Cricetulus griseus: one gene and its partners. Each later gene encodes a partner of the first gene's protein in a complex. Links are inferred from orthologs where the notes say so. Each region holds a gene or a part of one and is shown in the gene's direction. Other genes may lie near its edges.

What was found.
Region 2: Kat5 (region 1) and Ing3 share a complex: the UniProt entries of both Homo sapiens proteins name them as parts of the SWR1-like complex. The link is inferred for Cricetulus griseus from reciprocal best matches to the Homo sapiens genes KAT5 and ING3.
Region 3: Kat5 (region 1) and Anp32e share a complex: the UniProt entries of both Homo sapiens proteins name them as parts of the SWR1-like complex. The link is inferred for Cricetulus griseus from reciprocal best matches to the Homo sapiens genes KAT5 and ANP32E.
Region 4: Kat5 (region 1) and Ruvbl1 share a complex: the UniProt entries of both Homo sapiens proteins name them as parts of the SWR1-like complex. The link is inferred for Cricetulus griseus from reciprocal best matches to the Homo sapiens genes KAT5 and RUVBL1.

Annotation. Positions count from the first base shown.
Region 1 is NC_048596.1:53,750,940-53,753,702, forward strand, and holds part of Kat5 (histone acetyltransferase KAT5), read left to right. Parts: intron 1-412; exon of another isoform or gene 413-591; coding exon of another isoform or gene 592-633; intron 634-2,172; coding exon 2,173-2,313; intron 2,314-2,390; coding exon 2,391-2,484; intron 2,485-2,763. Other genes in the region: Rnaseh2c (ribonuclease H2 subunit C), read right to left, coding at 592-633. UniProt on the Homo sapiens protein: Catalytic subunit of the NuA4 histone acetyltransferase complex, a multiprotein complex involved in transcriptional activation of select genes principally by acetylation of nucleosomal histones H2A and H4.
Region 2 is NW_023276806.1:205,262,019-205,265,991, reverse strand, and holds the start of Ing3 (inhibitor of growth protein 3), read left to right. Parts: upstream 1-1,173; 5' UTR 1,174-1,306; coding exon 1,307-1,334; intron 1,335-1,565; coding exon 1,566-1,637; intron 1,638-3,973. UniProt on the Homo sapiens protein: Component of the NuA4 histone acetyltransferase (HAT) complex which is involved in transcriptional activation of select genes principally by acetylation of nucleosomal histones H4 and H2A.
Region 3 is NW_023276806.1:60,586,061-60,590,015, reverse strand, and holds the start of Anp32e (acidic leucine-rich nuclear phosphoprotein 32 family member E), read left to right. Parts: upstream 1-1,155; 5' UTR 1,156-1,479; coding exon 1,480-1,533; intron 1,534-3,682; exon of another isoform or gene 3,683-3,702; intron 3,703-3,955. UniProt on the Homo sapiens protein: Histone chaperone that specifically mediates the genome-wide removal of histone H2A.Z/H2AZ1 from the nucleosome: removes H2A.Z/H2AZ1 from its normal sites of deposition, especially from enhancer and insulator regions.
Region 4 is NC_048601.1:54,830,684-54,834,817, reverse strand, and holds the start of Ruvbl1 (ruvB-like 1), read left to right. Parts: upstream 1-1,334; coding exon 1,335-1,475; intron 1,476-3,387; coding exon 3,388-3,474; intron 3,475-4,134. UniProt on the Homo sapiens protein: Possesses single-stranded DNA-stimulated ATPase and ATP-dependent DNA helicase (3' to 5') activity; hexamerization is thought to be critical for ATP hydrolysis and adjacent subunits in the ring-like structure contribute to the ATPase activity.

The DNA of each region.
Region 1 (2,763 bases):
AATTGACCACTCTGGTTCAACCTGCGGGAATGCACAGAATACTAGGATTTAGACAAACTCTATTCTCTTAAGAGGCCATTTTCCGTGGCAGAAGCAGACATACCACAGCTATTCAGATCCCAGTGTGAGAAGTGTCGTGAAAAGAAGGATAAGTTAGCAGAGTTCAAAGGAAACTATCATCACAACTTTTAGGTAGTGTATGCCTGTTATCTTAGCATTCAGAAAGCTCCTGAGTTCAAGGTTAGCCTGGGCTATAAGGAGTTCTATGCCAACCTAAGCTATAAATTGAGAAAGACCTTCTTTAGAGGAATCCAAAACAAAGCAAAGAACAAAAACTTTATGGTGGCAAAGATCAAATGTAAAATTAAAGACAGTTTAAAAAACAGTTTAGCCCAGGGTGGTAATCCCAGTATCCAGGAGGCTGAAGCTGGTGTATTCAAAATTCAAAATTGTAAGACCCTTTGTCAAAAACAAACAGAAAGGATCTTGGATGGGTATGGTGGCAAATGCTTTAATTCCAGCACTTAGGAAGCAGAGGCAGGTGATCTCTACTAGTCTGTAGGGAGTTCTTCGCCAGCCAGGGGTAGACAGTCAAATCCTATTTTGAGAAAGTTTCCAGGTTGACCTGTGAGCCTGGACATGAAGGAGAAAACATGTTTAAGGCAATTCTAAGCAGTTGGGTTCAGTGATGCAGGGTACTGAGGTACCAGGACAGTATGTGTGAAAAGTAAAAGGAAGGTGAGAGGGGATGAAGCAAGACTTTTGAAGGTCAGAGGTCAGGTGGCAGGAACAAGATCACTGGAGAAGCATGTTTGGGTCTTAGAGATGAGAAGCATAGAGCTCCTTGAGATACACACATCTCTTGGGCCTCCAGGATGTGGGGAGAAGGCAGGTACCCTGATTGGGGGCGGCAGGAGCTCAAGAGAAAGACAAAGTTACACACTTCTCTGTATTATTTTTCCCCGAGACAAGGTTCCCCTGTGTATCCCTGGCTGTCTTATGTAGTTCAGGCTGTCCTCAAACTCCAGAGATCCAGCCTTTGCCTCCCAAGTGCTGGGATTAAAAGTGTTTACCACCACTGCTCAGCAACACTGCTCTATATTAAGTCCAAAGTTTTGCAGGAAGAACCACTAAGGCTGGCATTTTCTTAAACCATCACTGGAGAATAGCAGACCAGTTCCCAAGAGGCAAAATCACTGTGGCTAGAGCATTGGGGTTTTGGCACCCAAGGATAGCCACATGAGCAGAACTTCTGTCCTGAGACTGAATTTGAAGTTAACTCGACAGGGAAACTTTTTTAAAAATGGCAGAGGGGCACACACCTTTAGCCTTTAATCCCAGCACTCGGGAGGCAGAGGCAGACAGATCGCTGCATGTTTGAGGCCAGCCTGGTATACACAGTGAGCTCTAGGACATCCAGGGCTACACAGAGAAACCCTGTCTTGAAAAATAAAAAGTTCTCATTATGTAGCCCTAGCCTACTGACCTCAAACTTATAGCCTGCCTCTGCCTCCTCTAAGTGCTGAGATTATAAGCAGACACTACCATGCCTGGCTTGGAAATGTTCTTGGCTATTGTTAAAGCAGAACAGAGGACAGTACAGGTCCAGAGCAGGCTTTGCTGGGTATATGGGAAGCTGTGCAGCTCACCATGGGAGCAGGCACTTAGACACTAGTACACATGCTCCTGGACGCTTAAGAAGTAGCCCTTAGTCGAGCAGTCGTGGTGCACACCTTTAATCCTAGAACTTGGGAGGCAGAGGTAGAGGTAAGCTAATCTCTGAATTTGAGGCCAGCCTGGTCTACAGAGCAAGTTCCACACAGCCAGGACTACACAGAGAAACCCTGTCTCAGTAAAGGGTTTTTCTACCTAACCCCTACCTAACCAGTGGTGATGGCCTAACTGGTGGGGTTAGGGTCCTAGGAGGGAAGCCGATCTGTCAAGTGAAGTAGCAAAAACAAGTGCTCCTCAGAGCCCTTGAGATGGCTCAGTGGGTAGAAGCCCTGTCACACAAGCCTGGGCACCTGAGTTCACTCTGTGGAACCATAGTGGAAGGAGAGAATGCATGTGTGTGTAGTACATACATGCCTGCAATCACATATGTCAGCATAAAGTGTAACTCTTTATAGTAGTGCCCCCAGAGTAGTGACTGACAGGCTTTTTTCTTTACAGAGTTACTCACAAAACCTGTGTCTGCTGGCCAAGTGCTTCCTCGACCACAAGACATTGTACTATGACACAGACCCCTTCCTCTTCTATGTGATGACAGAGTATGACTGCAAGGGCTTCCACATTGTGGGCTACTTCTCCAAGGTCAGCATTCACCCAGGCTGTCCCTCGGCCCTGCCCTGAGTCAAGTCTAAGTTAAAACTCACCTACTCTGATTCCAGGAAAAGGAATCTACTGAAGATTACAATGTGGCCTGCATCCTGACTCTGCCTCCCTATCAGCGCAGAGGCTATGGCAAGCTGCTGATTGAGTTCAGTGAGTATGTGCTGCCTTACCAGAAGTCTGGGAGGCTGACAGGGCCAAGCCTGTGTGAGTGTACTGTCATCTGTGCTTCACATGCAGACATGCCAGTTACCAGGAATAAAGAGATCACTCTCCCAAGGCCCTTTCCTCAAGCAACTGCCTATTTCCTCAAGTAGGCTCTCGGCACCCACTTCTTTTTGGCTAAAGGTTTAAGTGTCACCCAGCTTTTCCCAATTTGGAATCATCTGTTCCTGTGTGGAGCTCTGGGCAGCTCAGCTTCTCATGTTCATC
Region 2 (3,973 bases), on another chromosome or scaffold:
TCAGAGTAGTGAATAAATCTTAAAAATGTCACACTGGTTTTTATAAAATTTTGTTTTTTTTTTTTAATTTTTCTTTGGTGTGAAATAGGGTCTCCCACCGTCTAGGCTAGCCTCCAACTACCCGTGTTGCCAAAGCTCCCCTCGAACTGTTGACTCTCCTGTCTCAACTCCCCCAGTTTCGGAATTACAGGTAAGTAATAGATAGTGTAAGAAGGGATCATTTCCTCAAAACACAAAGCATGTATTTAGTGCACGAATTTTTATGAAAGGGATTTTAAGACAGAAACAGAGCGGTGATACACTCGTTATACTACTAGTGAACACTTGTTAGGGGTAGAAAAAGACGCAGTCCAGGACTTACAAACCTTAACCCGGATATTTACCCAACGTAAATTTGAATCATTGCTGGTATATCCCAGAATTGGATTAAATCTCCATAATTTATGGTTGGCCGTTATTTATTTATTTATTTATTTATTTATTTATTTGCAGGTGCATTAGAATATTACAACGAATTCGAGACACGCAGCAAAACATACTGGCTATTGCAGACAATTTTTGGGCATTTTTCAATTTGGGAAATGCTCATTCGATCCAGTCTTGGTATAAATATCTTAAAGTTACAGGATCAACAACAGTCAGCTGTCCCGTTTATATCTCAGGAGTGGATAACGAAGATAAATTCCAGCAGGGAGTTGTGTTCTAAACAATTCGAGTTTTCCGAACTTGGCCGATTATTCTAGCGTTTGGAACCTTTGCTATTTGCCTAGCACGGTTAGAAATCCATGACTCACAAACGGCGGGCTTGGAATCACAGCACAGAACAGGTGAAAAGTTGTTCCTAGTTCTGTCAGGCAGGCGCCTACAATTCCCGTCATTCCCCTTGCAAGAAACCCACAAATAAACAGAGGCACCGCATTTCGGATTCTGGCGTACCCGTTTCGCACAGCCGTGTGGTTTCTGTAGTTGCGACGCCTGGAGCTGCCCGCATGGATGGCCCCCCGCTCGGGAAAAAAAGACTACATTTCCCAGAACACCACGGGGATCCGCACCGGCCTGCTGACGTCAGCGCTCCAGGCAGCCAATAGTAACGCCGGGCGGCAGTGAGGCAGGCGCCGTCAGGCGCCAAAGTGGAGCCTTTTTTTTTTTTTTTTTTTTTTCCGTTTTTTTTTTTTTTTTCCCTTTGCCGGAGTCGAGCGGGTGCTGCTAGCGGAGGCGCCATATTGGAAGGGACAAAACTCCGGCGACAAGGAGTGACACAAATAAACCCCTGGACCCGTTCGTCCCCGCAGCAGTCAGGGCCGCGATGTTGTACCTAGAGGACTATTTGGAAAGTGAGTGCGCGGCGCCGGCGACGCGGCTGGCGGGATCGGCGGCGGGCGGGAGCGCGAGTGGCCGGGCGGGCGGGATGGCGGGAGGGAGGGGGAGCGGGGGATGTTTCTTTCTCACGGTAACTGGCAGCCTCGTTGTGAGCCGCCCCCCCCACGCACGCACGCACGCACGCGTGACGCCAGCGCGTAGCTTCGCCGTTGGCCCCGCCCTCTGACGGACTGTGCCTTTGACAGTGATTGAGCAGCTGCCGATGGACCTTCGGGACCGCTTCACGGAGATGCGCGAGATGGACCTGCAGGTGCAGAGTAAGTGGCGCGTCCCCGGGGCGGGCGGGCGGGCTTCTCCGCGCCGCTTTCCTCGGGCTGCCGCCTCCACAGGAGGAGGCTGGCCGGCACAGCACCCCGCTGACACGCGGGGGCCGGTGTTTGTGTGTGTGTGTGTGTGTGTGTGTGTGTGTGTGTGCGTGCGTGCGTGTGTGTGTGTGTGTGTGTGTGTGTGTGTGTGACACGGCACGGCGATGACGACATCGCACCGCGGGGGAAACTCGTGGTTCCCACAAGGTTTGCTCCTGAGCCTGCAAACTCCGAGTTCTGCATTCAGACTTAGGAAAAAGAGAGAAAGAAAAAGTTCATCCTATTCCCCGATCTCTCAAGAGTAAAACGCTTAGGATCGCAGATTGCGCGCGGCTCCCCCGGGGACCCGAGTGGGCTCGGCAGGCCGAACTTTGACAAGTTGCCTATTGCCAGAGACGCCGACAGCCGTCAACTACGAACAGGGTTATTCTCTCAGCCACAACGAGCCAGAGAAATAGTCATGATTGGAAACATGATGGACCTGCCCTTGATTGAAACGTTTGGACCTTGGGTCGGCTTTTCTACCCGTTTCTTCTTGTTTTGTAAACACAGCTCGGGGCGGTCTCACACTCACTGTGCATCAGAGTCTGGCCCTAGTCTCCTGCTCTACCTGCTTCTGCCTGCCTAGTGCTGGGATTTACAGGCATTACCCACCCACCGTACTGGCTCAGCTTTGATTTTTTTTTTTTTTTTCCTGTCCATCAGTGCTTGGTAGTTTTTTGTATTGTACTTATTTCCAAATTAACCTTGCTATTTTGAAAAGCCATATTGGAGGTGGCTCAAAGGCAGCCTTCGTTTGCTAGGAGTTGTTCTTTTCATTGTCAGTCCCTCACCACCACCACCCCCAACGACCCCCCACCACACACACACACACACTTATGTAACTTTTCTTCCGGAATGTACTTTGTACTTTCTCATCTAAGTCTCTGGGTCGTCTCTTTTGGGGGCCCATAGCCCCGTAGTCCGTCATAAGCATGTGACAGGTGTATGTGTGATTCTTTCCTTTTTGACTCAGTACAGTTGCAGTAGTAAACATTTAGCAAAGCACATTCCAAAGGGATTGATCAGAGCTTGATAGCAGATAGATTTGGATTCACTTTAGGGCCTCTCCAGTTTCTTATCCACCTTGGCTCTTTGCTGCCTTGGGACTTTTTTTGTTTTTGTTTTTTGTTTTGTAAAAGACAATCTGCTGATTTAAAATAATACATATAATTAGGATGTATAATACCTGTTACAAATAGGTATAGAATAAGGGATTATTTCAAACATTTTGTAATAGTTCAATTTTTTAAAATTCTATGATAGTTTGGATTTAGTCTATACATATTATAGGGTTTTTCAAGTTTAGTTTTTCTTATAAACTTGGTGTTTTCTGAAGTTAAAAGTGATTATGCATTAGGCAGGCGGTGGTACACACCTTTCATCCCAACACTCAGGAGGCAGAGGCAGTTGAAGAGTTCAGACCAGCCTGGTCTACATGAGCTAGTTCCCAGACAGGCTCCAAAACTACACTGGAAAATCCTGTCTTGAAAAACAAAACAAACAAGCAAAAAGTGATAATGTATTAACAAAAGTAGCAGCATGTCTATATTGGCAAATGAACTGAAAGTAAGATTTTTTTCTTAAGAAAATTAAGAGTAACTAGAATGTCTCAGAATCGTTTTTTTTTTTATATAAAGGTATTATGCACTGAAGAACTTTAAATGATGAATATAGTGAGGAAGTTTTTCTCCATTTCCATAACAGAAAAAATCCCTTTTATTTATTTGTCTTTTTTAGCAGTCATCCACTAAGGTCATTATTTTTGCATGGGCTTTGGAAAGCCCTTGCACAGAATAAATAGCTTCTGTATTGAGTGATTAAATGGCATCTTATGTAAACAAATGATCACACATTTCATACCTTCATATAACATGGTGGGGTGCTTGGTCTGTAATGCAAATGTTGAATATATTATCACTATTTTTATTAAAAGAAGTGTGGACACTCTCCAGTAGTACTCTCAGTAAGCAACTATGGTTGCCATAACCAGCTGACTTAATGCCATTAGCTGATTCAGTGCTGTGCTGCTCCAGGGCTGTGGCATACATCCTTGTCTGTGGGTTGACTCTACCTTGATTGTTGGAAGATGTTTTGAAATAGCAAAAGTCAGTACAGCTTTTTAAAACTAAGGTAATTAAGGCATTACTGCTTGTAGAATTGAAGCAGAGTGTGTATAAGCCACTAGCAAACTGAAACAGTACATGTTGTCAGACTTCTTTTATTTCCTCAAATCAAAGCGTTTGGTC
Region 3 (3,955 bases), on another chromosome or scaffold:
AACGCCCGGCTCAGTACTCATTTCTTACTTAGGTTTTCAGTTTTTGTTTTGAGATAGAGGCTGGCCTAGAACTCACTTTGTATACCAGGCAGTTCTGCCTGCCTCTCCCTTCGGAGGTCTGTGACCATTATGCTTCGTGTGTACCATTATGCTTCGAATTACAGAAACATTAAGTAGACTTTCTTTTTAAAATGTATTTGAGTGTTTTGCTTTAATGTATGCACACGCACATCTGGCCCTGGAGCCTGTGAAGGTCAAAAGAGGCTATTGAATTCCCTGGAACTGTAGTTATGGATGATTGGGAGCCCTCATGTGGGTACAGAACCAGGGTCCTCTGCAAGAGGACATCGTCTCTTCAGTGCCTCACATACACTTTAAAAGAACACTTTAAGTAGATTTCTGCAGGAAACTTACCAAAGGGAAATGGGAAATTGGAAATTGTGTTTTCTTTAGGCCCGTGCTGCTTTTCCTCCAAGGTCCCAACTATTTGCCAGCGACAAATGACCTCAGTATCAACTCCCACAGGACAGTTTTATTTAAAGGTTTCTGACTCAACGTGCTAAACTCAACTGCTTCCAGAGTCGTTTCGCCTTTGACAGTGGAAGTTAAAATACCTTCTTTATCACGCTCTGGTGAACGCCAGGGCCGTTCGAGACGGGGAGGTGTCCCGAACTCGCTGCTCTTGCGTTGAGTCCCTGGCTCACTGGGTAAGCCGCATAGCAGGGAGCTTGTGCTTTAAGACTACCGAAAGCTCTGGAGTGCGGTGCGCTGGATGACCGACCCGCTTACACCCTGGGGACGCCAGCGACGCCCTTTCCCTTCCTCTAACCCCGAAGCCAGAAAGCCCTCAAACAAACAAAAACAAATTCAATAGACAGCCAAACCGTCCCACTAGCGAGGGAAAGCGCGCCAATCACACAAAGAAAAGGAGGGGGGCGACTGGGATTCAAAATCGTTTCTCCGGGACGTACATCCTCCCGGACCTATCGGAATTAACTGCGCGCTTGCTCAGAGCCAATAGACCCCGAGTTTCTGGTCCGGGGCCCCCCTAACGACGGATGGGCAGTCCTCTAAGCCAATGGAGTGGCGCGACGCTAAAGGCTCGGCCAATGCAGTCGGGAGGTGGGTGGAGCGTAGGCCAGGGGGTTGGCGGTGCCGTGTCATGGAGGCTCAGTCTCGCAGCAGCCATTGAAGGGGAAGGAACTGCGGGCGGGCGCGCGCGTGTCTCTCTCTCTCTCTCTCTGTGTGAATGTGTGTGCGTGCCCGTGTGTGCGCGCGCGGGTGTGTGGACTAGAAGGTGGGGGCAGCCGAGTTAGTCCCAAGTCGTCGGACTCCATTTGCTATTCTTTTCTTTCTCCCCCACACCCGGGTGGTAGTGGGCGTTCGTCTTTGCGTCTCTTTTCATTCATCTCCAGACCTTTAGGGGTGTTTTAGGGTTGGGGGCAGTGGGGAGGGCAGGCGAGGGGAAAGGAGGAGGACATGGAGATGAAGAAGAAGATTAACCTGGAGTTGAAGAACAGAGCCCCGGAGGAGGTGAGATGACTCAGCCCCCACCTTCCCCTCCCGCCCTGTGTCGCGAGGGGTGGGCTTCGGTGGTCCCGGTGGGTGCGCGGGGCGGACTGGGAAACGCGCCCCCACTCGCGGTGGGGGCGGGGTGTTTATTTTAAGTTTTAAATCGCCAGGCTTCTTGTGCTTAAAATGGCGAAGGGCTTAAGTTTCTAGGGGCATTTTCCCGGGCGCGCGGGGGCTCAGCCCCTCGGCGTCCCCGCAGTCTGGCGGCCCGGCCTCGCGGGGGCGGGCGGCGTGGGCGCGACCCCCGGGCCTTCGCCACCTGCGAAGTTGGTGTAACTTTCCCGCGGTGCCGCCATTCGGCCGGCCGCGGCCCGGGGCGTGGGTCTCGGGCCGATCTGCACCCTGCGCTCCCTCCGGCGGTGCCCACTCGCGGGCGGCGCGCGCCGGGCCGGCGCCGGCGCCGGGCCCGGGCGGCGGCGGAATCCCGGGACCCGACGGCGCCGGCCGCGATCCTCGTGGCGCGCGGACCTCTCTACGCAAGCCCGTGGCTCGTGCGAGCCGCGCAGTGCCGTGTGCGGTCGTCGGGAAGACTCGCGGGCTGGGAGGGGCCCCCGGAGGCGTCGCCTTCGAGCCCCCCGCCGTCGGGTTCCCTTGCGGTTCCCGCCAGGTTCCTGGGTCGGAAGCTTGGGCCGCGGCGGGCGGTGACGGCGCCTGGGGCTCGCCGGTTCGCGGCTGCTTGAAGACGAGGGACAAGGGACCGGCGCTACGGTGGTCCCTTGACGCCCTAGCAAAGGCGCCGGTCTGCCCGGCCTTCGCAGTCACCGTGCAGAGCTACCCGTGCCTGAGCCCTGTTCTTTTCTGTGGCGGGTTTGCGGGTTTCTGCCGACTTCAGCCGAGAGCGAGGTGGAGGAAACATTGTTTCTGTAAGGGTTATTATCGCTGGGAGAACTAGAAGTTTTCTAGAGCTTTTTAGAAGATTCTGGAATAACTCAAAGTTAAAAAGCTGTCCATCAGCAGGGCATGGTGACTGATACCTGTAATTCCCAGCCTTTGGAGGCCGAGGTAGGAGGATGGCTGCAGGTGGGACTCTGTCGAGCAGGGCAAAACAAATCAAAACAAGCAGTTTCTCATAAGCCTTAGGTGCAAATGTGGGCCTCTTCCCGCATCCTTTCGCCTCCAATTTGGAGAATTGCGGGACATTGCCATGGTGTAGTAACAGGTTTATATAGACAGTTTATTTTTATTTATGTTTTTGGCTTTTTAAGACGGGGTTTCTCTGTAGCTCTGGCTGTCCTGGAACTCCCTTTGTAGACCAGGCTGACCTTGAACTCGGAGATCCACCTGCCTCTGCATCCCAAGTGGGCCACCACTGCCCGCTATATGGGCGGATTATAAAGTGCCCAGTTTACTTTCTCCTTGGAAAACTTGTAAACTGGGTTGTATTGTTTTAGAATCCAAATTTGCAAACAGGAGTCCCAAGACAGTGTAGTGGCGTATTCTGGCGGAAGAACTGGGTTTCTGACACTGGATGTACAAGGCCTCTTGCTGAGCTCTCTTAGCCCTGGATAAGACTGGAATCCAAAGGCTTAAGAGGTGCCTGGCGTGATAGTGCACGCCTTTAGTTCAGTTCTATAATCCTGACACTCCGGAGGCAGAGGCAGATGGGTCTCTGAGTTTGAGGCCTATCTGATCTACAAAGCAAGTTTCTGGTCAGCCAGGACTAAATAATGAAATGCTATCTCAAAAACAAATGAACCGGAGGGTGGTTTCACACACCTTTGGTTGCAGCATTCACTTTTAATCCCAGGGTTTGCAGGCACAGATATCTGAGTTCGAGGCCAGGCTGATCTACAGAGTGAGTTCCTGGACAGCTAGGGCTACACAGAAAAACCAAAACAAAAAACAAACAACGCAAAATAAAAAAAAAAAAAAAAGGCTTAAGAATCAAGACACCCCACCATACTGAGGGTGTGACCTATTAATGCAAGTCATTTTTTTTCTAGACCTTGGCTTCCTGGTCTCTAAAAGGGATGTTATGGTTCCATTTCTGCTCATTGGAATAATGATTGCCAAAGTTACACCCAAGTAGAGAAGATGGCATTTGTTGTTCCTGATTTTTAGCCTTTAAATAAACATTTTTGTACTGGGGACAGAGAACCAGGATCTGATTAGGTCTATTCAGGTGCACTGGTAAGTTTGTTACTACATCTGGGATCTGGGGTTGGAGTGATGCTCAGTAGTCAAGAGCACTTGTTCACATGGTAGCTTCCAACTGCTACCATTCCTTCTTCCACCTCGGAAGGCACCAGGTATGCATAGAGGTATCCATATGTAGGAAAAACACCTGTACACATAAAATAAAAATAAGCCTACAACTCAGATCTAATAAGAAACCCAGTTCTGAGCTGGAAAGATGGCTCAGGAATTAAGAGTACTGGCTGGT
Region 4 (4,134 bases), on another chromosome or scaffold:
TGGTCAACCAGTTGTTATGGACCATAGGCCCTCCCAGGGTGGTTGCTACGCTCTGTACGTCATTGCTGTGCACTTGTCCGTAGAGCACACCCAGAGCCCTAAAGCATAGCACCACCAGCTAATTTCTGATTGGTTCCTTGCCACAAGGCAGGCATCTGACCTCTTAGTGACCAAGGCAAGGTCATGGGGAGCATGTGTTCAGCTGTTATGACTGCCAAAATGGGGAGCTGGTCCCTTCACTATTACTAGAGGTGAAAGTCTTCTCAAGAGAAGTCTTATAGTGGGCCTAATTTTGCAATATATTGCACACTGCACCACAGGAAGGTGTCTCCCAGCTGTTTGAAAAGTGAGGCACACCTGCTTCATTAACCAGAATGCTGTAGGGGAAGGTAAACAAGAGCGTTTGTTGCCCTTAGGACAGCCCTTCATGCAAATAAAAATTCCATTTATGCTGTGGCACAGTGGCTCATGAAACCGAACTACCATATTTGCACCAATAACAGTTGCTGATTCAAGGAAGGACCATGTTTTTACCAATCACAGGCTGTTTTTTTGTTTTTGTTTTTCTGGGCTACCTGGAGAACTGTACCTACTCAAGTCTGGTGAAAATGGCTGATGAGAGTATGGTGGTGATACCTTTAATCCTCGCACTCAGAGGCATAGGCAGGTGGGTCTCTGAGTTCTAGGCCAACCAAGGTTACATAAAACCATCTTTAAAAGAGTTCATTAGATATGTGATGACCAAAATTATGGCATAAATTCTTTGAAACTGTCCTGGTTGGAATAGTGCATCCTGGATCCATTGTATTCCGGCAAAAAGGAAAAGTGGTTGGCTGAGCAGCTTCCTCGGGACATCATGGGGGAAGTTTGGGCGGCTGTTTTGCTGAAAATTCTCTCAGGGCAACCAGATACCTGGGAAAGGTCTTAAAATTGTCAGTGAAAGAGTCAACTCACCCTGGCACAGATATCTTAATCTAAGGAAAAAAAGATATTAAAAGAGGCGTTTATAAAAAACAAAGACTGCCACTAACATTGATAATGCTTTAAAGTATTTAGCTGTTGCCCATCAACGATAGCCAGGGGAGGAAACGCCTGCCCTGGGGAAATCCAACCTGTAACACAAACGGAAGTTGGTGGGCGGAACTCACCCGCAGCTACCGACGGGCGTAGCTTGTAGCCAATAGAAACCGAAGTCTTCTCGCTTCCACCAATGGCGCGCTAATAAGGGCGGGTCCCAGAGAGCGGCCTAGTAACGGCCGCGTGGTAACCCGGGTGCCCGGCGTGCCGCAGTTCCTACCTTTCCACGCCGGTTGTGTCTCCAAACGCTCGTCAAAATGAAGATTGAGGAGGTGAAGAGCACCACGAAGACGCAGCGCATCGCTTCCCACAGCCACGTGAAGGGGCTGGGGCTGGACGAGAGCGGCCTGGCCAAGCAAGCGGCTTCAGGGCTCGTGGGCCAGGAGAACGCGAGAGAGGTGGGCGTGGGGCGTGTGCGCGGGGCGGACCCGGACCCACCGAGATCTGTAGGAGAAGCGGGGATCACATTAACGAGCAAAGATTGCATCCTTCGCGTGCCAGGGCACGCAAGTTAGGTCTCACTGGAATAGCAGTGGAAGGCTGTGAGGTTAGTCATAGAATTGACCAAGTTCTCAGAGTTGATGCGGTTTTGGGGGGCCTGGGAGCTGACCTGGGAAGTAGAGTGATGGGAGGAACAGTCAGTCTGGCCCATCCCCCATCCAAGCACTATTTTAGCTATTCCACTTCAGTCTACTTAAAATCATCGGCAGTCATGCCAGGTGATTTGATCTTTTCTGTTTTGCACACGAAAAAAAATCAAAGTTGGAAGAGGTCAGGGCACCTTTCCACCTGTCAGTTCAGCAGTAATAAAGCTGATACTTTCCCCCACACCCACCCCTAATCAGTATTCTTCCCATTTCCTCAGCCCCTTCCACTCTGGTTTCTACAGAGGCTCAGTAACTACAAAAACTTGATCTTTACATTTGGTGAAGACTTCTGTCTCAGCCTCTTGCAAACAGAAGGTGCCAGGGAAAAGACTCTGGTTTCTGCTTGGAGTGCCATCTATCCAAAGGGGAAACATTTGACCCTAGGTACTTGCACCTTCTCTTGCAAGCAGGTAATGGTAGTTAAATGCTTTCTATTTGCCAGGCAGCTTTGAGGCCATTGTTTGTTATGTCCTTTCTGTGCAATAACCCTCACTTTGGTGTGATGCTTTCTAGACATACAAAAACTGAAATGTTTGCACTGTAAATACTAGTGTGCCTGGATTCTACAGTTAGCATCTTACAGCATCAATCTGCCATCACATTTCAGACAGACTGCATATGGCAGCACACTTTATCCCTAAGCCCTTTCTTCCATGTCCAAAAGTTATTTTGAACACTTGCATTCAGGTAAGTAACCATGATTCACAGAGGTTGTAGGTAAAATAAGTCTGAGGGAACTCAACTGGCAAGTGAAAGAGCCAGCATATAAACTGGAGTGTATGTGACTTTCAAGTGTGCCTCTGCATTGGATTCTTGCATGACTGATCACAACAGCAGCCTCCCTGGTGCTAAAAAGTAAGACTAGGTGATCTTCTGAAAACCCTTTCTATTCTTTTAATGTTAGCTGGTATTTAAGTTTCATTTGTTAATTTGTGCGTGTGTGCCAGCGCTCAAGTGCACCTGCAAATGCATTTTGGTCATGTGACCGCTATAGTGCTTCAGGGAAGGTCAGAGATTCTCTCCTCCCACGGTGGGCTCCAGGAATTGAACTTAACTCTTCAGGTTTGCACTGCAAGTGCTTTTTACCCACTGAGCCACCTCACCAGCCCTTTCCAGTTCTTTTATTGGATGGATTCATAGCATACCTTTTTTGTTTAGATAATGTTGCTGTAGCCAGACTGGCCTGAAATTCACATCCCTGCTGCCTTTGAACTTTAAGTTCCAGGTCTGTGTTGGTCTTGCTGCCTCAACTTCCATTCTCCATTCTCTTCACCATGCTTTAGCGCTACGGCATGTTGTCCCTTAGACATACCAAGTTTCTGCTTTGGATATTTTGAGTTTTCAGTTTTTGCCTGGGATGTAGATTTCTGCCTAGGGCTTTGAATATTACCAACAGTGTTATGAGAAAGACCTTCCAGCTCCCCATAGCCACTCACTATCTCAACACCCTTTTTCCTCCTTAGCAGCCATCTTGTGCCTTGAGCCTGAGCTGGAGCACACGGCCTTGCTGCCTCACCTCCACTGCTCCACTCCATCACAGCGTTGTGGCAGCTGCTGACACTCAGTGTTGGAAGAGTATGTGAACTGTGTGGACCAAGCACTGAATTGTTTCCACCATGAGGCATTTTAATATTGACTGCTTGTTTCTTTCCATTGTGTGCAGGCATGTGGAGTCATAGTAGAATTAATCAAAAGCAAGAAAATGGCTGGAAGAGCTGTCTTGTTGGCAGGGCCTCCTGGAACTGGCAAGGTACTCATTCATTGTCTCTCTTTTTTTAAGCTACCCAAGAGAATGGTATTGATGTTTGAGCCTAATTGAATTCATGTCTTAACTAGTGTCTGTCTAGCTCGACTGGTTATATGAATGTTTTTAAAAAAAAGAAACCAATGTGCAGGAATACAATTTAGCATATAAAATTTGTGTTCTTAAATTAAAATTACCCTGGACTACCTCCAGCAGAGAGTGAAATCCTCAGAGGGTCTCATTGTCTCTAGAATGTTCCTTTTATCTCTTTCAAGTCTCCTTTGCTTTGTTAGGGAATACCTTTCTGTTGATTTGAGTGTCATAAGAATCTCCAGAGTGACATCTGTTTTGAGGATGCTTATACCTGTTGTGTATTTGAATGTGCATATGTTACAGAGGGCATGTGTAGAGGCCAGAGGACATCTTTCAGGAGTTGGTTCTCTCTGTTGTGGGGTGTGGGAATCAAATTCAGGTTGTCATGCTTGTGGGGCAAGACAGGGTATTTCATGTTTCCCAGCTTGGCCTCAAACTCACTATGTAGCTCAGACTGGCCTTGAACTGCTAATCCTCCTGCCTTTACCTCAAGTGCCAGGACTAAAGGTGAGCTTCACCATGCCTGACTGGTGGGTACTTGAAAGTTGCCAGAGTTCCTAGTCTGAGCCTTAG